Drosophila melanogaster: one gene and its partners. The gene in region 1 interacts genetically with each later gene. Each region holds a gene or a part of one and is shown in the gene's direction. Other genes may lie near its edges.

Evidence for each region.
Region 2: of Lrp4 (region 1) and GABA-B-R2, changing one suppresses a phenotype caused by changing the other (phenotypic suppression), as found in Drosophila melanogaster (one study listed by BioGRID).
Region 3: of Lrp4 (region 1) and Srpk79D, changing one suppresses a phenotype caused by changing the other (phenotypic suppression), as found in Drosophila melanogaster (one study listed by BioGRID).

Annotation. Positions count from the first base shown.
Region 1 is NC_004354.4:15,908,065-15,915,297, forward strand, and holds the start of Lrp4 (LDL receptor related protein 4), read left to right. Parts: upstream 1-2,805; 5' UTR 2,806-2,924; intron 2,925-3,302; exon of another isoform or gene 3,303-3,590; intron 3,591-3,843; 5' UTR 3,844-4,007; coding exon 4,008-4,059; intron 4,060-4,714; coding exon 4,715-6,030; intron 6,031-6,091; coding exon 6,092-6,213; intron 6,214-6,285; coding exon 6,286-6,477; intron 6,478-6,541; coding exon 6,542-7,233. Other genes in the region: CycD (cyclin D), read right to left, coding at 33-254, 473-1,045.
Region 2 is NT_033777.3:21,768,729-21,778,808, reverse strand, and holds GABA-B-R2 (metabotropic GABA-B receptor subtype 2), read left to right. Parts: upstream 1-2,968; 5' UTR 2,969-3,068; intron 3,069-3,461; 5' UTR 3,462-3,475; coding exon 3,476-3,724; intron 3,725-3,900; coding exon 3,901-4,382; intron 4,383-4,443; coding exon 4,444-4,624; intron 4,625-4,679; coding exon 4,680-4,898; intron 4,899-4,953; coding exon 4,954-5,249; intron 5,250-5,309; coding exon 5,310-5,673; intron 5,674-5,735; coding exon 5,736-5,846; intron 5,847-5,912; coding exon 5,913-6,149; intron 6,150-6,561; coding exon 6,562-6,907; intron 6,908-6,969; coding exon of another isoform or gene 6,970-6,972; coding exon 6,973-7,075; intron 7,076-7,132; coding exon 7,133-7,599; intron 7,600-7,660; coding exon 7,661-8,280; 3' UTR 8,281-8,476; downstream 8,477-10,080. Other genes in the region: tsl (torso-like), read left to right, coding at 1-457; Polr1H (RNA polymerase I subunit H), read left to right, coding at 1,043-1,160, 1,212-1,431, 1,496-1,520; CG6800 (uncharacterized protein), read right to left, coding at 1,596-1,767, 1,820-1,970, 2,033-2,417, 2,471-2,671; Burs (bursicon), read right to left, coding at 8,615-8,881, 8,940-9,064, 9,129-9,258.
Region 3 is NT_037436.4:22,271,348-22,278,096, forward strand, and holds the start of Srpk79D (Serine-arginine protein kinase at 79D), read left to right. Parts: upstream 1-2,637; 5' UTR 2,638-3,210; coding exon 3,211-4,091; exon of another isoform or gene 4,092-4,144; intron 4,145-4,198; exon of another isoform or gene 4,199-4,369; intron 4,370-6,016; exon of another isoform or gene 6,017-6,704; coding exon of another isoform or gene 6,705-6,749. Other genes in the region: Csp (cysteine string protein), read left to right, coding at 211-415, 1,022-1,044.

The DNA of each region.
Region 1 (7,233 bases):
GAAAGGTATTGTATTACGAGAAAGGTACTTACAATCAAATCATCCTTGTAGATGCTGTTGTCCGTGTAAACAACGAGTAGATCCACCGAAAGAGCACGACAGCTGGGTTCACGGAGCTTTGAAGCCAGTAAGAGGCAAGCTGCGGCCAAAATTTGTAGCTGGGTCTTGCGTACTGATTTGCTCGAAAGAAATCGATCCATGTAATTTAATGCCAGTAATACGACCTCTTCCTGGCAATTTTCCTCGGCACACACCTGTGAACATGTATTCAATTAATGAACGAAAAGGGTAGTCAAAATATTGTAATGGGTGTGCGATAAGGACTACTAAAACAAACACTAATTAATGAAGTTCTTGGAAACTTCCATCTATTTGGTAATATTTTCTAACAGATTATAAATAATGCGTATATCACAGTCGGCTAGCTTGATATGATTTGGATGCTGTATCTACATTTCGTTTAATTACTCACTTCCATCATCCATTCGGCGACAATTTTGCGCATCGGTGGCGTAATATCCTTCTGGATGCTAAAGTACGTGTCGGGAATTTTGTGGTGCTTCTCCTCGACCTTGAGGAAATTCTCCAGACACCGATCCGAATACAATGTGGGATCCCCGATGGCAGTGTTCACGTTGTCGGTTGCGGGTGGATCGGCTGTTGTGGTCAGGCGTTCGTCGAGTCGTTGGCAATGTGACGTCGGTGGCTCCTGGCTGATGTAACGCGGATAACTTTGGATTGATTGGGTCGCTGTCGGTGGTGGTGGCGGCGGTGGTGGAGGTGGCGGAGGCGGCTCCAATTGTTCTGGATTTTTCGCAGCCGAGTCCACGGACGCGTATATATACACCAGCTCCTTCATATTGCACACTACGGCATTGTTCTGGGCATCCGGATGGGAATCGGATTCCGCGTCCCCCAAGGATGAACATATCGATGATTGATCCCGAATGATCGCCGGTGAGGACATTTGCTGCTGTCGTTTGTTCAAACGATACAATGATGGATCTGATTCGTAGACTATGATTTCCGAGCATAAAAGATCCATTATATCGGCCATACGTTCCGTTTAAAGCTATGGATTCTATGGATCGCCGCACTCTCAAGCCATTTATGTGTGCCGATTTATCAGGAACTTTGGGTAACTCCGATATGGGAACACTGCGTACAATAGGAAATGATCGTACATAAGTACATACATACATATGTATGTTGCAACCTTCTTTTCACATTTAATTCAAGTATTTGCTCAAGTATGGGCACACTGCGGGCATATGTGTTTAGTCCTGTGGGAGCACTAGAGTATAGCATATAACCCTAATACCTTGACTTATTCATATGCACATTACATTATTTACATATTTTTTCGACCTGCTCAGAAATAACTCGTTCATTTCACACTATGTACTTATGTACATGTACATGCATGGCTATGTACGATCAGCTCGAGAACAAAAGTTTTCACTTACGCCTATTCTCGGAATTCTGGTTATATACAAACGGCACAGCACTTCATGGAGTAATGTAAATTAACTATTAAAAAAGTATACTCGAAGTTGCACACGTTTGCCACTTAACCGGCGTGGACAAAGCATTTATGTGAACCAGATAGTTACACCTTATGGCAGAAAAAAACTAGTTCAGCATGCCGTCATCGGAGTTATATCTCTTGCTCACTGCGATCAGTAAAACATATCGATCTTCATCGGTTATTAGTATAGTACTATCCTTTGCAATGAAAGGCAAGCGAAATACGTTGAAAAGGGGAACCTCCTCATTGCGTTTCCAACTTGTTGCTTGTGAAATATGTTTCACTTAGGGTTGTTATTAGAACATTAAAAACTTATAATCCATCAATGGGTTTGATGGACTATAAAAGGGTCTTACCCTTATAATAAAAACAAAGTTCTTCTAATTGCACTACTTTTTTTCTTAAATAAGCTTTTTGTTATACGATCTTACGAACTTACTCTTGATGTGAATTTCACATCACTCAAGTGTTCCAATTACTCCAGCAAAATCAAAAATACTAAAATATGCTAGGGCGTTGCCACCCTGCATTCATGTAAGGATGGTACTGACAGTCGATCTTTCGGCATGTCATACATTTAACGATCGTGGTCCACGACAAAATGGTCAGTAATGCAAAACTCACTGGCATCACCCTACTAGGTTGAATCGTGATCAAAACACCCTTATTAAATTCCGTTTAAATGGCCGGAACCTGTTGATTAAATGGCAGGTTGTTCGAAAGAGTCGTAAATAAATGAATGCTGCACTTAAAGATCCTGTACCGCTTACAAAAAGCATTGAACTGCTGTTATTTTCTTTAGGGTTGTACTTAAACAGTTTTAGATGACAAACAGTAAGACATGTAAGAAACCTAAAATAATTTCACTAAAAAAATTCTAAAAGCAATTGTAAAAAAAAGATATAATCTTTGCTGCTTTGTTTAATAATTAATAAGATATTGATAAAAGGGTAAAAAGCTTTCGCGACTTAGGAATGCCAGGTTAATGATAAACAAAAGTAACCTGTGGATCCCTTCCGAGAAATGATGTACCGATATATGTACACATCGAGATTAAAATGGACTTCCATGTCCATTGTCCTAATTTCGGTGCTGCAGTTTTTTGTTGTTTTTTAGGAAAAACTGCAGCGTGGAGAATGCTTTCAATGATACAATCCTTAATTGGGTTCGCATTTTGCTAACTTAGTTGTTGCAAATTAATTTACCCTCACTCTCGGCACACAGACAAAAGCTCGCTTCCCAGAAAAAGCTTAAGGATTCAGAGAAAACTTTGAAACAGCACACGAGAGTTGAGTGGAACACTCGCGTCCGCCGACTTCGCTTTCCGTCAGAGGGATGCTGTAATCCCCTGAAATTTTATATTCGTTATATTCCCGAAGAAGACAAGAGACGTGCTGTACGAAAATAATTTTTCATTCACGTAAATTACCCACACAAATGTGTGTGGAACAATTAGCTGATTCAATTGTTCTCGCCCGCCACTTGCTAATTGGAATCGAAAAGTGTCAAAGTTTCAGGAGGTTCTTTTTGTTTAATAATACTGTGTTTAATATGCATATGTTCGCGTGTGTGGTGCTCATGACATACATACATAAATGCCAACAAAGTCCCAAATATCGCATTCATTTGCGAGGGGACTTCGCAGGACGTTATAAACACCTTTATACCACATTCTGGAAATGCCAAACGCAGTGCCAAGCCCACGCAACTTTATAATAGGATATACATTGAATGAAGTAGTGCCATGAATGCCGTGCCGCATGATATTTGATCCATTCACGGAGTCGGTCCTGGACCTACAAAGTCACAATAAACCTTCTGTTTAGTGAGACAGCGTAATGTGAAAAATGTTGAGGACGTACAAGCCAGGCATTTAAATTTATTAACTTACAATAAACATTTATGTAAATCATAAAAAACCCAGTGACACAATAAGTAAATAACAAAGACCAGAAGTAACCAAGTGCTTACAAATAAGATGAATAGAGTAAAATCTATTGAGTGACACCTACGCAAAGAACGAGTGTGCTTAAGTGTAACATATACACAACATATACATCAGGTGGGCGGGTTTTGCGCATAGTAACCCCCCTCCCCCAAGCCCAAAACTTTGCATTAACTTTATATTGTCCAAAACCTAGAGACAAAAAATCATTGAGTGAATTTCATTATTTTAAAAGTTACGCCCCGCCCCCCCTCAAAAAAAGAAATATATATATAAAACTCTAGATCCGCCTTGGTAGCAAAATATGTTATACGCAAGCGCTCAATACGAAAACCTCCTTCTCTCTACCTTCCTCTCTTTCTCTTAACAGAATCGGAACAGCAGTTAGCAGAAAGCAACAGCACAGCAGCAGCAGCAGCAGCAGCAGCATCCGCTTAGCAGAGCAGCAAATGCTTCGGAAGCAAAAGCAGTAAAGCTCGCAGCGCTACTACGTTACGTGCCTATGAGTGGGCGAGTTTGTGTACATGTCTGGACATGTATTTGACAGCCTTTCCCTTTTGGCCATTGGTATGCTTCGTGTGGCTCTGTAAGTATTGTCCTCGCAACACAGTTTGTCCTGGGGGGAGATGAAGGGTATCTCTCTGTTAACGCCCACGATGCGCTCAGACCAACAGCACTTTTTGCTCAATGAAAACTTGCACACGAAAACTAGCCAATTGAGAAAATTCCCTGCTCAAGAGGGCTTAATTGTAATACGAATTTCCAGGAACATGCAATCTATAATATGTATGTGCAAGGCATCAAAGAACATGCATCGAATTGAATGAAACTTTTTTATTTAAGGATATTGCTTGCATACAAAACGTGTCCATGACTATGTACATATGTATGTATGTACATATGTATGCATGTTTTTGTAAAGCTGTTTTTGAACTATTGGAAAACCTTTTAACTCAAGACATGACCTTTGTATGTATCAAATCAGAAGCATTGCATTCAATGCTCCTTTCCTATGAAAAGTGTTGTATTTTCCAAGAACATTGCAGTGGCGTGGGAACAATAGCAAAACGTGCCTTTTGCTATCTGCTTTGAATGAGAAATAGGGGGGTTTTCCTTTAACTACTTGTAGTTAACATTCAATTCAACTTAACACGACTGAACTTGTATGATAAGGCAAAAGCCTTTGCTGCATTTTGAGCTAATTAGAAGTTAAATGGTATCGATTTAAATCCTTTGACTAGGTCTCGGTCTCGGCGACTTGACAAAAACTGCTGTGAAACGTAACGCGCCCCACTATGGAATTCACCCGACAAACGCACTGGGTCGTTGGGATTGGAATAAGCACAAGCAGCTGCACTCGGATGCCAGAATCGGACATTTAGAGGCGGGCAACGAGTCGCGGGAGGATCAGCTGTCGGAGGAGCTGAGCAAGTTCGGCGAGAAACTCTTTCCCGTCTCCAACTATCCGCCGTATCAGCAGAATAACGAGGATAGCCAGGAGGTGCATCATAGTGGAGAGGGAAGATTGCATACGATGGAATCGTCTGTGCCATCCAAGACTAGAATATCCGGTGGCACAAATTCAAACGATACTCCCAAGTTCCGGAACATTGGCGCCCAGAGGGGTAGAACCGAAATAGCCGGCATTCGCGAAACTGATCGAATCAGTTCACGTGGTCGAGATGGTTTTATAGGTGGTCCGAGTAACAAACAGAAGCCATTTAGAGTCAATCTGGCCGTTCTGGTGCAGGACGATCCCAGTCAACCGGGTGAGACATACTCCAATTGCCAGAACTCCAATGAATCCGACGAGAACTGCAATCCCGAGGAGGATGCAGTGCCGAATTTGCAAAGGGATTGCGAGAAGACCGGGATACATGTGATGTGCCCGCGAACCTTTCGATGCATTAGCAAGTATTGGCTCTGCGATGGAGATGATGACTGCGGTGACTACTCGGATGAGACGCACTGCGGAGCCAGGACGAATTGTACAGATGATCAGTTCGAGTGTCTCAACGGATTCTGTATTCCACGAACCTGGGTATGCGATGGCGAGAACGATTGCAAGGACTTCTCCGACGAGACCCACTGCAATCGCACCACCTGCACGGATGAGCACTTCACCTGCAACGATGGCTATTGCATCTCCCTGGCCTTTCGTTGCGATGGTGAGCACGATTGCAATGACAACTCGGATGAGCTCAAGTGCGCGGCGGTCATAAACAGCTGTCCGGAGGGCGAGTTCAAGTGCCGCGGCGGTTTGGGTGGAGCAGGTGGTCCCAGTGGCCAGTGCATTCTCAATCGTTTCCGCTGCGATGGCGACAACGACTGCGGCGACTGGAGTGACGAGGAGAATTGCCCCCAGAAGCCATCACTATGTACCTCGAATGAATACAAGTGTGCCGATGGCACCTGTATTCCCAAACGTTGGAAGTGTGACAAGGAGCAGGATTGCGACGGCGGAGAAGACGAGAACGACTGCGGTAGTCTCGGCTCGGAGCATCCCCTGACCTGCGGATCCGATGAGTTTACCTGCAACAATGGGCGCTGCATTTTGGTATGACCACTGGAGTCTCCTTAACTTCTTTACCTCATTGAGTTTTCTGTTGTCAAATCAGAAAACTTGGCTCTGCGATGGCTATCCAGACTGCGCTGCTGGAGAGGATGAGGTTGAGTGCCACCTACAATGCGACCTGGGACAATTTTTATGCCCAACCAAACAAAACCTAACAAATCTTAAGTAAGTTGAATTGCTCATGATGTCCTCATATCACAAGCAATCCAATTACCAATTCCCGATTGTATTTTTCAGGATATGTGTCCATCAGAAGCACATTTGCGATGGCCACAACGAATGCCCCGCCGGCGAGGACGAGGCCGACTGTCCCAAGGAACGAAAGTGCTCGGAACCGAGTCCTTGCGAGCAACTCTGCATTGAAACCACTGCAGGATCGAACGAGTGTGCCTGTCGACTTGGATATGTCATGGACAAAAACAAAGTCAAGTAAGTAGACGATTTGTTTACCGGGTATTTCGTATGATATTAAAGTGATGCCACGATTGTTTAGCTGCACGGATATAGATGAATGCCAGTACCTGACCAGTCCGGTTTGCTCGCAAAAATGTCACAACACTATGGGTTCCTTTAAGTGCTCCTGCGAAACGGGCTACATACTTCGTCCAGATCTCAGATCCTGTAAAGCGCTGGGTGGTGCGATGACCCTGCTGGTGGCCAACCGATGGGACATACGACGGGTGACGTTGAGTAATAACCGATACTCGGCGATTGTTAAGGGACTTCACAATGCGATCGCATTGGACTTCCACCATCGCAAGGGCCTGATGTTTTGGTCCGACGTGTCCACCGATGTCATCAAGATGGTGTATATGAATGGAACGCGAGTTCGAGACGTCATCAAATGGGGTCTGGAGTCGCCGGGTGGCATTGCAGTCGATTGGATACACGACCTGCTATTTTGGACGGATTCGGGCACGAGACGTGTGGAGGTTTCCAATTTCCAGGGAAACCTGCGCACCGTCATCGCATCCTACGATCTGGACAAGCCACGTGCCATTGTGGTGCATCCGGGCGAGGCGTTGGCCTTCTGGAGTGACTGGGGACCGAATCCGAAGATAGAGCGCGCTTACATGGATGGAACACAGCGAAAAGTAATCATATCAAAGGGTGTAACCTGGCCAAATGGCCTGGCAATTGACTTCCCCAACAGCAAGATCTACTGGGCTGATGCCAAACAGCATG
Region 2 (10,080 bases), on another chromosome or scaffold:
CGTAAACTCATACACCACCGGCAATTCGCTGTATCAGGTGTTTGTGTACAGCAGGAAGAACTACAGCATGATCAAGGAGCGAATCAAGAGTAAAGGTCTGAACGGACTGTCCAAGTTGGATCTTTACAACTACTTTGCGCCCTGGTTTGCCGCCCATCTGGGCCAGATTCGATCGGCTAGTGCCAATGCTACAGTGGAAAGATGGGCGAGAAGGAAGCTGCAGTACGAGTACTATGTGGTCAAGTATGTGACCCTGCTGAAACTGCACGGTAATAGTACTCTACTGCGATCCCTGGACTCGCTGCTCGGCAACGATGCCATACTGCAGTTGGACCTCAAGTCGCTGAAGCCCATCTTCCGGGAGGAGCCGGAAAAGGAGAGCTGGTACCACGAGGTTCTCGACAACAATGTGAAGCTCTGGGAGCTTAACATGCCGCAGAGTCATCCCACCCGATAGCTGCATTTTAAATATATATATACTGTGCGATATGTGGCAGCCAAGGATCAATAGTTCCTAGATGCTTAGTTGTAGTTAGGAACCTCTAGTGCGTAGTTAATGTTCTGCCTGTGATAGTTTTAGGTAGTTTAATTGGAACACAGTACACATCCGACTTGCATTTCAGCTAACTAGACCGTAAGATCGCCTTATTGATGTAATAGTTTTGTAAACTTTAATACAAAGTAAAGATAAAAGTAAAAATCTTACTGTTTTCATAACTTGATATTGGCTATTAAAATCTAACTGTTTTCATTACGTAATATTGGCTATGAATATCAAATACTATTTTGAAAGTTTATTTTGAATAATTGATTTTGATTAAGAACCGGTAATCGAAACGGGTAAACGGCTCTACCCGTTTCATCAAGGCTTTCAACCAGACTTATTCTAGTTTTCCACCCTTACGTATTTAGTATATGAATCAAGTATATTTTTAATACCGTGTGGTATATTTCAAACGGTTCAGTTACGCTCATACTGAAATCCGAAATAGCACGTGCGGTTTTTGTATTTTGATTTTGATTTTGGGTGATATATACTGGCATGGATATTTTTTCCAATTGTCCGGGCTTTTGCCCCTCCTGCGGCTCCATTCTGCCCGAGCTTCAAGTCAAGGGCAATGTGATTTGCTACAACTGCAAGAAGGAGTTTCAGCCAGATGGTAAATCCAGAAATTACAACTTTGTTTAATTTATTTAACACTTAAAAATAGTTTACAGCGGCGAGAAGTCCGAGTTTACCATACACTTCAACACCTACGATCCCAGCAAGGTGTTCAACAGGACGAAAAGGGAGTCGGAATCGGACGCGGATGGCCCCGTTGTGGAGAGGAAGTGTCCCAAGTGCAACCACGACAAGATGTCCTATGCCACCCTGCAGCTTCGATCGGCGGACGAAGGCCAGACGGTGTTCTTTACCTGCCTTAAGTGCAAGTAGGTGTCCTGATAAACATATTCCTTCACTTCCACAACTAATCACACACATTCTACCTTGCAGATTCAAAGAATCCGAAAACTCTTAGTTGCTAGCAATGTCCGTGTAAATAGTCCTAGATTAATGAAAATAATCATGCTCGACGGCCTGAGAAATATAGAATTTACCAATTATAATACCTAACCGGTGTCAAACTTGAAGCAGAACCCACCTCGCTGGCCTTGAGTCGGTTTTTGGGATTGTAGACCACCAGATTCGAGACCAGATTGATTTCCACCGCATGTGTGCAGCTGGGAAACAAGTTGTCCCAGTGAATGCCCACGGAGTTGGGAAACCTACGTCAAGAATATTACGGATTAAGTAATCATAGACGGTAAGAATGCCTACCGTATCTTGCTGTAATCCGGCAGAGAAGTCAGCTCTGGCCACTGATTCAGACGTGGGCTGCCCAGAGTGCGAATGATGATGGCTAATTGCTCGATGTCGGTGGTTCCCGCAAACAGGGGCACTCCGCGTAGCATCTCCGCCACAACACAACCTGGATAGCAATAATGTCAGCCATAAGGATATATGTAAACCCATCAAAGAGTCATGGCTAACCTGCCGCCCACATATCCACTCCGGTTCCATACTTCTGGCTGCCAAATAGAATCTCTGGCGCTCGATACCACCGGGTTGAGACCTGAGGCGAATAAAGGCGCGACTCGTCTTCAGGGAAGTACAGACGGGCCAGTCCGAAATCGGCAATCTTAAGCATATCTGTATCGCTGATAAGCAGATTGGCGGGTTTAATATCCCGGTGCATGAGACCCGCTTCATGCAGATATGCAATCCCCTTGAACATTTGGTGTGCAAACTTACGCACCTGCTGGCGGCTCAGGGGATTAACCTCGCTCTTGAGGCGGTTGTACAGAGTGTCCGGCTGGTATTCCAGCACCAAGGAGAGACCAGTTAGGTCAGGATATATATCAATGATGTCCAGAATCTACAATTAGTTACATAATTAACAAATGGAAAATAGATATATGGTATACCTACATATTCAGACTTGCAAAGCTGCAGGGTCTTGATTTCCCTCAAAGTATTTAGGGCTATGTTTCCGAACTTGTTCTTAAGGGCCACCTTCTTGATGGCCACCTCCTTGTTGCGCTGCAGATCGATGGCCTTAAACACGCAGCCATGGACGCCTTCGCCGATTTTCTCAAGCATTTTATAGCGGCTGGGCGCATAGTCCTCCATTATGGTTACTCACAATTTTCAATTTGGTAATTTTCCGAGCAGTTATCTACTTCGTTTTTCGACCCCAGTAGTCCATGGCAACGGGCACAACAATTGCCGGAGTACCAGCTGATGGGACCACCTGTTGCAGGATGTTTACAAGCGCAGTGGGTTTATGGTAATTACGGGGGTTGGAAAGCCTAGGCCAAGGCGGAGCAGTGACAGCTTTCGGTTTAAGGACATGCGCACTTCCTGCCTCGAATTCCTCCTGTCAGACAAATGTCAAGTCAGGGGGATACATAATTTTTCGGACCCTCGCACTGCAAAAGTTCTTCGTTGGCTGAGATTTGATGTAAAATAAGTGTTTCAAATGGCATCGGTAGTGAAATAAAAGCCAGTTCTGGGACTAAGCAAGCTGGTAGGTTCCTAAAAACATGTACACATAAGATTTAAGAGGATGCAACACCTGGAAGATACTCCTTCGCGTTAACGAGCATACTAAATAATGCACGAATCCTTTAGATCATTAAATTGCTTTATAATTACTAAACGTGCCAGCATTGCTGCAGCAATTTGAAGCAATTTTGCTGGCCTGGACTGGCCTTAGCCTTGCTCCACCTGTCCTGTAAAATTGCATGCGAGTGCCAGCAAACACAGGTAGAACGTAGAAAATAATACACACCCACTGGGCGCAGCCTTGCCTCGGCAGCCTTGGCTCACCCGAAACCAACCACTGCCATTCACCACCCACAACTTGGCTCCAAGTTCACGTCCTCGATATGCGCTATTCACATTTAGAATCGTTTTACAGCCCACGCGGTCAACATGTTCCGGCCAAGTTGGTTTCCATTCGCCAGCCTGCTGTTCCTGCTCCTTTGGAGCACCGCCTGTGGCAGGACAGCCAAGAGATCGGACGTCTACATAGCGGGATTCTTCCCGTACGGGGATGGCGTGGAAAACTCCTACACCGGTCGGGGCGTTATGCCCAGTGTAAAGCTCGCCTTGGGTCACGTTAATGAGCATGGAAAGATACTGGCCAACTACAGGCTGCACATGTGGTGGAACGACACTCAGGTGAGTTAGGGTTTAGCTTGAAGATTTCATTAAGTGAATCTCTGATGATGGACTTGTGGTTTTTAAAGTTCAATTAGGTATTTTTTTTAATGTTCATTGGTTCATATTGTAATATCACACCTTTACCTATGCATATTTCCATATATTCTGGAATGTAATTTTGGTTTCCTTTCCAGTGCAATGCTGCTGTGGGCGTAAAGTCCTTCTTCGATATGATGCATTCGGGTCCCAATAAAGTGATGCTCTTCGGCGCTGCGTGCACCCATGTGACCGATCCCATAGCCAAGGCCAGCAAGCACTGGCACCTCACCCAGCTCAGCTACGCGGACACCCATCCCATGTTCACCAAGGATGCGTTTCCGAATTTCTTTCGCGTGGTACCCTCGGAGAATGCCTTTAATGCGCCGCGACTGGCCTTGCTGAAGGAGTTCAATTGGACCAGAGTGGGCACTGTCTACCAGAATGAGCCACGCTATTCGCTGCCCCACAATCACATGGTGGCTGACCTGGATGCCATGGAGGTCGAGGTGGTGGAAACGCAGAGCTTCGTCAACGATGTGGCTGAATCATTGAAGAAACTGCGCGAGAAGGACGTGAGGATCATTCTGGGCAACTTTAACGAGCACTTTGCACGCAAGGCATTCTGTGAGGCTTATAAGTGAGTTGGATATACTAACTTAAGTCTCAATTTAAAATTATTGCAATAAACTCCCTTCCAGATTGGATATGTATGGCAGAGCCTATCAATGGCTGATCATGGCTACCTATTCCACGGATTGGTGGAATGTCACGCAGGACAGCGAGTGCAGTGTGGAGGAGATCGCTACAGCCTTGGAAGGTGCCATTCTAGTGGATCTTTTGCCCTTGTCCACCAGTGGTGACATCACAGTGGCTGGCATTGTTAGTACCAGTAAAGTCTATTAAAATTCTTGTAATAAATTTCATATTTTACTAGACTGCTGATGAGTATCTTGTGGAGTACGACAGACTGCGAGGCACTGAATATTCCCGCTTTCATGGCTATACCTACGATGGTATCTGGGCAGCTGCCCTGGCCATTCAGTATGTGGCCGAAAAGCGAGAGGATCTGCTAACACATTTTGATTATCGCGTGAAGGACTGGGAGAGTGTCTTCCTTGAGGCTCTACGTAATACATCCTTCGAGGGTGTGACGGTAGATAGATAAACAATCCAGTTTTTGCAGTTAAAACATATTTTACATTCTCAAGGGACCCGTGCGTTTCTACAACAACGAGCGCAAGGCCAACATCCTGATCAATCAGTTTCAGCTGGGACAAATGGAAAAGATCGGGGAATACCACTCACAGAAGTCACACTTGGATTTAAGCTTGGGAAAACCAGTCAAATGGGTGGGGAAAACTCCTCCCAAGGATCGCACTTTGATCTACATCGAGCACAGTCAGGTCAATCCAACCATATATATTGTATCGGCTAGTGCTTCGGTCATTGGAGTGATTATTGCCACAGTTTTTCTGGCCTTTAACATTAAGTATCGCAATCAAAGGTGAGCTTAACAATGCTATATTAAACAATTTCGTTTAATAAAATATTGATGTTTTTATAGATACATCAAGATGTCCAGTCCCCATTTGAACAATCTGATCATTGTGGGCTGTATGATGACCTATTTGAGCATCATTTTCCTGGGTCTCGATACCACATTAAGTAGTGTGGCAGCTTTTCCCTATATCTGCACAGCTCGAGCCTGGATCTTGATGGCTGGATTCAGTCTCAGTTTTGGAGCCATGTTCTCGAAGACGTGGCGGGTGCATTCGATATTCACCGATCTGAAGCTCAATAAGAAGGTGATCAAGGACTATCAATTGTTTATGGTTGTGGGCGTGCTTTTGGCCATTGATATAGCCATTATAACCACCTGGCAGATTGCCGATCCCTTTTACCGCGAAACTAAACAGTTGGAACCCTTGGTGAGTGCATTGATAGAACATATTTGAAGTGAAAAATCTAAAATGATTATTATTAACTACAGCATCACGAGAATATTGATGATGTCTTGGTGATCCCCGAAAACGAGTACTGCCAGTCTGAGCACATGACCATATTCGTTAGCATTATTTATGCCTACAAGGGACTGTTGTTGGTGAGTATATAATAAACATTAATTTGTAAGATATCATTATAATAAAGCAATAATTTTTTTCAATAGGTTTTTGGCGCCTTTTTGGCCTGGGAAACTCGACATGTTTCTATACCGGCTCTGAACGATTCCAAGCATATTGGTTTCTCCGTTTATAACGTGTTCATCACTTGTCTGGCCGGAGCGGCTATATCCCTGGTGCTATCGGATCGAAAGGATTTAGTTTTTGTCTTACTCTCGTTTTTTATCATTTTTTGTACGACAGCCACTTTGTGTTTGGTGTTCGTACCGAAAGTAAGACTGGTAGTAAGGAAGTTTTGTAGTTTTTGTAGCTGTTATATGTTACATATAATAATCGTGTAATATGAATGTTGTTTGTCGGCGGTAATAGGCCGATCAGTTGTGGTTAGAGCTTCTTAACTGATCGTACTTTACCGCCAGCTGAGCTGATCTTTCGTCTAGCGTTGATACACCTTGATACAGAAACAACATGTACTCGAAAACAGATCTTAAAATGCTATATAACACTACAGACTAACTATAAACTTGAACTATATAGAACCCACTAAGAGCAGCAGCAAGGTTGTAGGCAAATCCCACTTCCTTGCTGTTGGAATATCTTTAACTATCCTATATTACTGTCCGTAGAGTTGATCCTTCCTAGATGTTGACCGCGTAGTATAATCTTTGGTTAATATTCATGCGAATCGTTTTGCAGTTGGTGGAGCTGAAGCGGAATCCCCAGGGCGTGGTGGACAAACGCGTTAGGGCCACGTTGAGACCCATGTCCAAAAACGGACGCCGGGATTCCTCGGTGTGCGAACTGGAGCAACGATTGCGAGATGTAAAGAACACAAACTGCCGATTCCGAAAGGCGCTGATGGAGAAGGAGAACGAGCTGCAGGCCTTAATCCGCAAGCTGGGACCCGAGGCACGCAAATGGATCGATGGGGTGACCTGCACAGGTGGCTCCAACGTCGGTAGCGAACTGGAGCCCATACTGAACGATGACATTGTTAGGCTCTCAGCTCCACCGGTGCGTCGAGAGATGCCCAGCACCACAGGTGAGTGGCTAAGGAGGGGGATTTCGTAGATATGTTCATGCATTGCAACCCGTTTGTCATAGAAGTTACCGAGATGACGTCCGTGGATAGTGTGACCTCGACTCATGTGGAGATGGATAACTCCTTTGTGTCGGTGCAGTCTACAGTGATGGCGCCATCGCTTCCTCCGTAAGTTCTTAAATTTTGGTCTTAAATACACTCTAATCTATGGATATTCTCCAACAGCAAAAAGAAAAAGCAATCGATTGTAGAGCACCACTCGCATGCCCCTGCTCCAACTATGATGCAGCCCATCCAGCAGCAACTGCAGCAGCACTTACAGCAACATCAGCAGATGCAGCAGCAGCACCTGCAGCAGCAGCAACACCAGCAGATGCAACAGCAACAGCAGCAGCAGCAGCATCATCATCGCCATCTGGAGAAGAGAAACTCGGTGTCCGCTCAGACCGATGATAATATAGGCAGCATCACCAGTACGGCGGGCAAGCGGAGCGGAGGAGACTGCTCCAGCATGCGGGAGAGGCGTCAATCGACCGCCTCCAGGCACTACGACAGTGGCAGCCAGACGCCCACCGCCCGGCCAAAGTACAGCAGCTCGCACCGGAACTCCTCCACCAACATCTCCACATCGCAATCGGAGTTGAGCAACATGTGTCCACACTCAAAGCCCAGTACTCCGGCTGTGATTAAGAGTAAGTTTTCTGCGCGTCTCTTATAATACTATAATACTATCGATTTTCTAATCGAAAATAGCTCCCACTGCCTCCGACCATCGCCGCACCAGCATGGGCTCCGCTCTGAAGTCCAATTTCGTGGTTTCACAGAGTGACCTCTGGGACACGCACACGCTGTCGCACGCCAAGCAGCGCCAGTCGCCGCGGAACTACGCCAGTCCGCAGCGCTGTGCGGAACATCATGGCGGCCACGGGATGACCTATGACCCGAACACCACCTCGCCCATCCAGCGGTCCGTCTCCGAGAAGAACCGCAACAAACATCGGCCAAAACCGCAAAAGGGCACCGTTTGCCAGAGCGAGACGGACAGCGAACGGGAACGAGATCCGCCGCCCAACAGTCAGCCGTGCGTCCAGCCGCGTAAGGTCAGCCGGAGCTCTAACATCCAGCACGCCGCCCACCACCACAGTTCGCCCAATGTGGCGCCCGATAAGCAGCGGAGCAGGCAGCGCGGCAAGCAGGATAGCAGCATCTACGGCGCCAGCAGCGAGACGGAACTGCTCGAGGGCGAGACGGCAATTTTGCCCATCTTCCGGAAACTCCTCACCGAGAAGAGTCCCAACTATCGGGGCCGCAGTGCCGTGGGCCAGAGCTGTCCGAATATATCCATCAAATGCGATATCGTCGAGTACTTGTAGGCGGCGCGAGTCATATGCATTATGCCGTAGTTAAACTCCTATTGTTAGATCCAGTTGCAGTGTAAAGATTATCTTTGTTTTCTTTGGAGTTACGCATCTACATACATACCCTGTGAAGCAGGACACACACCATTTAGTGAACTAGTAGCAATGACATGAGATAGTTGGGAAATAAATTACAATTTAAAATAATCATATATCTGCTGATGTTTCCCTTTCACTGGCATGAGCTTTCAGAGGCACATTTTTCACTGTGTACAAGCAGAAACGGCAACTCTAATTTATTTTAATGAGCAAATGGGCATGGGTATGAGTGCTAAACTGATGGGGGAATCTATTGCAGAGCAATGCGCCGGAAGTGATTGTTGAGTGGACCCTCGTCCGAATAGCCGGCAATTTCCTGTGGTATGATGCCAGACTCCTCAATGGAAGTGCATGGCCGACACATGCACTCCAATGGCGCCTTGGTCAGGACCTTCTTGAATTTACGCTCGCCGGGCTTCACTTTGGGACAGAATAGCGAGACGGCTGCCTCCCGCTCACCAGACTCCTGGCAGCACATGCAGGAACGCTCCATTTGCCAGATCTTACTGCCCGAAACCTAAAGTCATCAGATTATATCAAATTATAATTTATATTTCAAGTATATCAACACCCACCTGGATATAACTGGCACAGCGACCCACGCAGGCGAACGAGGGAATCGGCTTGGGCACACATCCAGGATACTGGAGCACATGGATGACGGGCGTCACCTGACAATCGTCGCCAAGATGCGTAATATCTGGATGGTAAATGGAATCCATTAGAGCGAATAATATGATATTATCAAATGCCTTATCAAATACCATTATCCGTGGCGGCCACAGAGCTATCCGGCTGTGCCGTGCAGAGTTTCAGAATGCTGACCAGGACGCAGTAGAGCAGGATCAGGACGAAGACCTTGTTGTTCTCGTGGCGGAGCAGGTGGCGCAGCATCTCGTCGGCCCGACTGCGAGTGTCCTTTCACGTGGAATGGAAAACGCCACTTGCAGCCGCCGGGCTTTTATAGACCAACTTGGCCAGCGGATGCCGCTCTAATGGCCGCTCGACAGCGTAAATTATGGCCTAATAAAGCAAGGGCCGTCCAAACCTTTTTGCCTAGTAATTGCGTACACGAAAAGGGCATTTCTCCCGCGGCGCACGACCACGGCAATCTCTTTATTTCCCTCACAACTTATTGGCTAATCAGGGCCAGGCCAACATGCTGCCCACTGCTAAAAGCAGAACCACCACCAAGGAAGTGGCTCCCAGGCAGGAGCTACCATTTCTGTCCGCCAGATATTTTACTAAGCCTTCCAAATGGGTTTCCGCCCAGTTAAGGTTTTTTTCCACAGTGACCAGGGACTTGGAGAGCAGCTCTTCCGATTCACCGAAGAACTGGTGATTGCTGTAGTAGAATTCCTTGAGCAACTGCTGTTGCTCCCGGGTGGTGAAGTACTCCGCCATGTCATTGATCACCTCGGCCGTGTCCCGACCAACTCTGGAAGCTGAAAAGCGACAAGGTTAAGTGTTCAATAAACAATCAAACCACACTCTCAGATGATCAAATTATGAAAAATAACTCACTTATACGCTAATTCCATAATGTTTTCGGTAATCATTTCGAAAATTGCCTGAACCAAGTCAGGATTCTCCTCGTACATACGGGCGATACCAATTTTCTTTTGTTCAACACTTTCCGTACCAGAGATGATCATCTTGTGGTAATGGGTTTCGTAGTCTCTCGTGCAGCTGATTGCAGCCCAGAGCATATTCTTT
Region 3 (6,749 bases), on another chromosome or scaffold:
GCTTGAAGGGTCCTTCTATCCATCAGCACAAGAGTAATGTAGTGGTCGTAACTAAACCGTAGAATAGTGTACATACATGGCTTGTAGGCAGCCCACCGAAAGTTTTTGACTAAACATTGGTTAAGGGACCTTCCCTCCAAGCTCTCAAAACTTGCTGCAGAAACTAAAATACCGGCAGAAATCCTAATCCCACTCTTTTGTGTCCCGCAGGAGGACGTTGACCTAGACGACGTTAACTTGGGTGCGGGCGGAGCCCCCGTTACCTCACAGCCGCGGGAACAGGCCGGAGGACAGCCTGTTTTCGCCATGCCGCCGCCCAGTGGAGCCGTGGGAGTAAACCCCTTCACCGGCGCCCCTGTAGCAGCTAACGAGAATACGTCGCTAAACACAACGGAGCAGACCACTTACACGCCAGGTATATAAGCAATTGGTCCAGAAGTCAACCACACAGCCAGCCTCCGCTAGTTTGGCAATCCGACAAAGCGTCTTTGACCATCGAACTTGTTATTGTGCATATATCGAACAAATATTGTTTCCTTCGGTCGCTGGATAGGTGGCGAAGGCATTCAGTCACCAGTCGACATACCCCGTCCAGCGATCAGATCAACACCCCCTTAGCAGTAAGCTCGTGTATCCGGCAAGGTATTTTTTAGTCACTTTCTGTACATGTCCACGCGAATATGGGATCCATTTACTTAGATCTGCATGCTGAATTACATTACCACACACTGCCCGAGCTGCAGGATGACCAATGAATAGATTGATTGACTCAGCCTTTCGTTCCTTAGGTCTGCGCCAGCCGTACTCAAGTCCCCCATTTTAAAGACCTCCTTTCAAGATTGTTTTCCAAGCTTTCGCAAATTAAATGAAATGAAAATTTTAATTTCCATCCAAGACATATTCAAAGAATGTAGCTTAAGTTTGACGGATTTTAGTTTTATCGTTTCTTATGCAACGCGTACATTTTGATTTCTTTTCACTTATCACTGTCTACTTCTCTCTCCCCCTCTCTTCACTCTAGATATGGTTAATCAAAAATATTAGTCAAGTGCTGCGAGCGAGTCAAGACCCGGGTGCTTGCGTACACCACACATTCAGATACAGACACAGAAAACACAAGCCCCTAAATCGTAACAGAAGAGAAAACCAGATTTATTTCATAATTATTAGTGTTGTTTTTAAAATGCGCGATATGTTGAAGCGAGTAAACATAGAAACCAATGTATTTATTTTAAGCCGTAGCACTTAGCTCTAATTTTAAACTATCGAACTTCGTGGCCGCCCTCCGGTCAGTCAGGTTGATTTTGGTCCACTTCGGGCAATCGATTCACCAATTCCATTGTTCAAGCCATGCATCTAGCCTTGCAGCTGTACCACTATACAACTCGAATCGATAGCCAAGCCGCGAAGCCACCATCTCCACCTATCCAGTCATGCTAATCACCAAAACACCATTCGGTGTTGATGAAATTGTATATCGGAAGTTTGTCTAGACATTTGCTTGGGGATCGGATCCCTTGCGGCTTAGCCCGTGAGTTGGGATTCAGTCGCGAAGAGAGGCACTGTAATTATATATATGTATATGATATGTGTATCTAGTTTGTGGCATTTGTGTCGTCGCTTAGTCTAGCTAATTTGTTCTCGAGATCTCCTCTTCACCGATTGTTTCTGTTATTTTGCACTAAATTGTTAAAGCCAGAACTACTTATGTAAAAAGGATGAATTGTCGAGCGACGCGCCCAGCAGATTGCTCCGATCCGATTCTAATGCAAATGTAAATACGAGTTAAACAATTAAGCATCACACAGTTAAACAGAGGAGGACGAAGAAGAGGACACTTTGAAGGGCGATCCAATTAACGCAAATATAAATTATATAACAGATATTAATAATCCCCTCTATATATAAAACAATTAAATACGAGTAATCAAAAGTTGAATTGTAACCCCCGAAAGTATTGCACATATTTATGTATTCCAAATTGTTTCAAAATTGAATTGAATCTAATTAATTTTTGTTTGATTGTTAACCCGCTTTTAAATGTAAATGAATGCGATTAGTCCAGCAGTAATTAACTTTTATATTGTAGTATCCCATTCTAAATCATTGACATCAATTATTGCCGATCAGCTCCGGGCCAGGATAAAAGTCCTTGGGCGCCTGGGTCTAGGGCCGGGATCCGAGAGTCGCCGGCTCATCTATAGTATAAACACGCATACATATATAAAATTCAATTATTAATAATTACATTTTACGGTCTTGCGTGTGTATTTATTGTTCGTACAAGTCAAAGCAAAAATACTAAGTAAACTAAATTTAAACTTAACAATTGTTTCCAAATTTCAATTGTATTCTGGTCTAACACGAAGAAGCCGAAATAAATTTATTATACAAACTCACCGCTTTGTTTTACAAAGGGTATTGCCTAGTCGGCTTTGCCCATGAAAAGCTCTGCCAGGATGGTAAACAAACTGATTTTCGGGGATGGAACTTTCGACGACGCCAGCTGCTTGCAGTTAGCTTTCACTCTCTCCGCTCGGGCTTTGTTTTGTTTTGGGACAGTAACGGGCCACAGCCGGCACATGCGCTTTGCCCGCTCCCCGGAATCGCTGAACTTCGCCGCAGAGTTTTCCGCTTCAGAACCCGGAGGGCAGACCGTCGGAGAGTTCGAGCCAAGTGCGGACAAAGAAGACTTTTCCGTGCTGCTGCTTCTGCCAAAAACACAAAGTGGAAAATGTGATGTGTTCGCTTTATTTGTCGAGGATAAATCAATTCCGCTATTAACTAGACTACGGGCACGTACCTGGCCAAAAGCATCGAAGAAAGGCGAAAGGGAATCCAATAGGCCCAATTGAGGGCAGACCGTGGAAAAACCCTCTTCTATCGCGAACCAGTTCGTGGCAGTGTGTGCGTGCGTGTGTGGATTTTCGCCTTACTTTTTTCATGCGCAATTTGGGTTACAAAGCGAGAAAAGCGCTGCTTAAAATGCATGTTTTAAGCGCGTCCCTTCATTGATTTTCCTACGCACAAGGAATGATATACGAAGTCCTCACCAGGAACAAAGGGCGCAGGCCAACGATGAGGACAAAGACGCGAGGAAGCTGCTTCTAGCTTCCCAGCATTCATTAGGACAGGGCGAGGACCAGCCCCGCGCAGATCAGGAAACTCATCCCGGGAGGCATCCTGGCTCCCGTACTGCCCAGTAGCGGCATGGCCGGCCTCATCGGTGCCGCAAATGGCAAACACCACCACCCACACCTCATCTCGCCCACCCACACGTCACTGCCGGCCGGCATATGTAGTAGTGACAGCGGCATCTCCACTTTGAGTGCCATCTCGCCGCCACTCTCCACCTCGACCACCACGGCCTCCGGTGCAGGCGGAGGAGTGGGCGGCAGCCCTCAGCTGCGCACCTCACCTGCGCTGAGTATGCTGGGTAGCGCCACGGCGACGGCCAGCGGCGTTACCGCCTCCTCAGGATGCGGTCTAACTGCCGGGATCCTGGGCCCGGCGGCCAGCATTGACCTGGGCAGCTCGCCGCTTTCTCACCGAAACTACAGCAACTCACTGAAGGGCTTTAGTTTCCGTCGCAGCTTCGACGACAAGATCATCAATACGCCGTACTTGTCGCGCGCTCCAGCCTACACCCACGGCATTCCCTATCCGCATTTTCACGGTACTCAGCCTGCGGCCACCACGCCGCACCACCTCCACCTACACCACCATGGGAACGGCACAGCTGCGGGATCAGGTTCCGGTGTGGGATCGGGACCGGGATCTGGCAGCGGTGCAGGAGGACTCTACCAGCAGCCTCTGTCGCTGGCCTCGATGACAGCGGCCCTGCCACTGGCTCCGCTCTATGGATCCCCGCTGTCCCTGCCGCTGACCTCCTCTCAGTCCACCACCAAGCTCTCCTACCGCGACGACTTTCTGCAGCAGATTGGCTATCTGCCAACTACGCGCATCTACAGCACCCCGACCAGCATCGTCGACGAGGACAAGGCCCAGCAGGACTTCCTCTCGCTGTCGCTGTCGCCGCCGCTCAACCGACGGCGGGATATGCCGGCACTGCGCGGCCCATTCGTCAGTCTGTAAGTACTTCATCGATATCGTTGTCCCTATTTGGTAAAACATTTTTATTGTGCTATAAAATTAATATAAGAATTTAGTATATATTTCTATTTTCGGCTACAAATACCATATTTGCCAATATTATAAGATAAACTTCCTTCGATCACTTCATGATCACTTGAACACTTCATCTTCAAAAAAAATGTTCTTGACATGAACTGACACTGAGACATGATCAGAAGATCAGGATCTTTTAACAAATAGAGCTGGGCGTGTCCGTCCGTCCGTAATTTTGTATAAAGTTCGACCACACGTTTATTTCAAGACGTGTTCATGACGGACTACTAGAAACGTTAACTAATACTGCTCATTGGAAAGCGACGTCTCTTTAACGCTTTTCTGTTAAGATATCTCAACTCAATCTCTCAACTGAGTAACGAAGTAACTCGACCAAATGCATTTAATTTGTATTGACAAAATGGTATTAGGTTCCATTTCTGAGTGACACAGTATAAGCCTGTAATGTAAATAAAAATATAAATTGACAATTAATGAAATAATATTAAAGGGCATACCAGCTTCGACTTAGTAAAGTAAGCTTTTTTCCAGTTTTCTTTCCCATCACTCTCATGCGGATAAAATATGAACATAAAGTATACGCCGCGTGTATTCCACGTGTCTCTCACAGGCAGGAAATAAATTTATCGAACCGTAACGAGCTGCTCCAATATGTGAGCCGTTCGGGGATGGCCTCACTATTCGCGTTCCCACTGTGCGGGCACAGTGGGCCTCATTGTTGACGCAACCCATTAGTTCGATACCCTTCGCCACACAGTGTGCTTATCCCGAATGGGATGTGATTCCACACACTACATACTTACTTATGTGGTCCAGTTTTTTCGACAGTGGTACCAAGCAAACTTTACCTCCTGCGTCCCATAATCCTACATCGATCCCCCCGCATGAGTTCTTCCATTCAGTCCGCTCGGTTTGTTTACGTTTTTAAATTGCCCTAACCGCAAGTAGGCACCACGTGACGCCAGTGGCTAACCAATGAGCACCCCCAACCCAATCACCAACCTCCAACCCCCAGCGCATCCCCGCAATAACACAAACTCACTGCAATCGAGCAAAACGATGACGTTTTACTGCCTCTGGCTGCTCTGTATTCGCACTGATTTTCTAGCCGACTTATTGTTTTCATTCGCTTCTTTCGGCGTCTATAAATAATAATTTTATTGTGTTGTGCGGGGGGGGGGGGGGTTTGGTGGTGGTGTTGTTATGTACGCCGAGTAGAGCGCGTTCGTGTGTCAGAAATAGGGTGACTCAAGATGTCAGCAAGCTTTTCCTTCTAAAGAAATCGCCATGGCTCCATAAGGATCAACGGCTGACTCAAGTTGGGAACGGGGCTGCAAAATCAATAAGGCCGGTTAGTCCCAATACGAACTCACACATTTGCATATTGTGCAGGCGGCGGACGGAACTGCAGTTGCATTGCGAGGAATTTTTCAATCGCACCTAATCGCTCGAAACTACCTTTCGAAGTGGTTTCGAAACCTTTTGGAATTCGAGGTATTCGAAATCCTGCCTGTCGAACACCCCTCTGCACGGGCGAGGGAAAATTTGGCAAGATGCCTAAGAAATCTCGAAGCACTCGATGATGACGATGATGTTGACGGGCATGGCCCCGCATGAGTGTGTGCTCATTTGGTGGACTCTTTCCTGGTGTAGTGCAGTCCATGACCGGCAAAGGCAGCGAACAACGAGCAGCGCCACGACATCGACTTGATGAAGTACATTGGATAATGACGCCAGCAAAATACACGGCGCATAAAATTATTCATTTACAAAATATCCAACTTTTTTGAATAAGTATTTCTCATCAGAATTGCCCACAAAGCAACCATTTCATACTCAGTAAAAAAATATTTATATACGAATACACCTGTCTTTCAGTTTTTATTTAGTTATTTACGAAGCCACTAAATTACGATCCTGTAAAGTAGAAGGTATCTGTTGGCCAAAGACTGCGACCTAACTGCTTTGTAAGGAAGTGTTCTCGCAGTGTATCACTCTAAGGAAAACTATCGGCGGGCATGGGTTCTAGGTGATCCACACACCTCACCCCCTGCCGGACTGTGAGCGGGCGAAGACTAAACTTAGTTGTGACAAAAAAAAAAAAAGAAACAAAAAAGCAGAACAGAAATACTCGCGAGTTGGAAACGGCTGCGCCTTGGCCGCTCAGGAAGAGGCGGCAAAAACAAAAGCGAAAAGCCATTCCGACATTCTCGCGGACGCAACTGAACGAATCGGACGAGCGAGGAAAGATACTCGCGCAGATACAGATACAGATACTTTTCATATTTCAGATTTTCCGCCGTGCGATATATTTTATTTATTTACCCCGCTCGGGCCACTGTTATGTAAGGAGAGTGTGTGCAGCGTGGTGTTTGTGTTCGACCAAACTCGTTCGGCGGTGTCCGTGATGCAAGTGGGGGTCTACGAAAGTCAAGGTCGCCACCCCCTACACGCACGCCCACAGCCATCCCCTGTTACTGCGCCCAGTTGCCATGAATTCGCGAAGGTCTAATCGGAAATCCAATTGTCGAATCGAGCAGTGAATCGAATCAGAAATGGATGACTTTGGCTCGACCGCATCCGACTTGGAAGAGGCCACC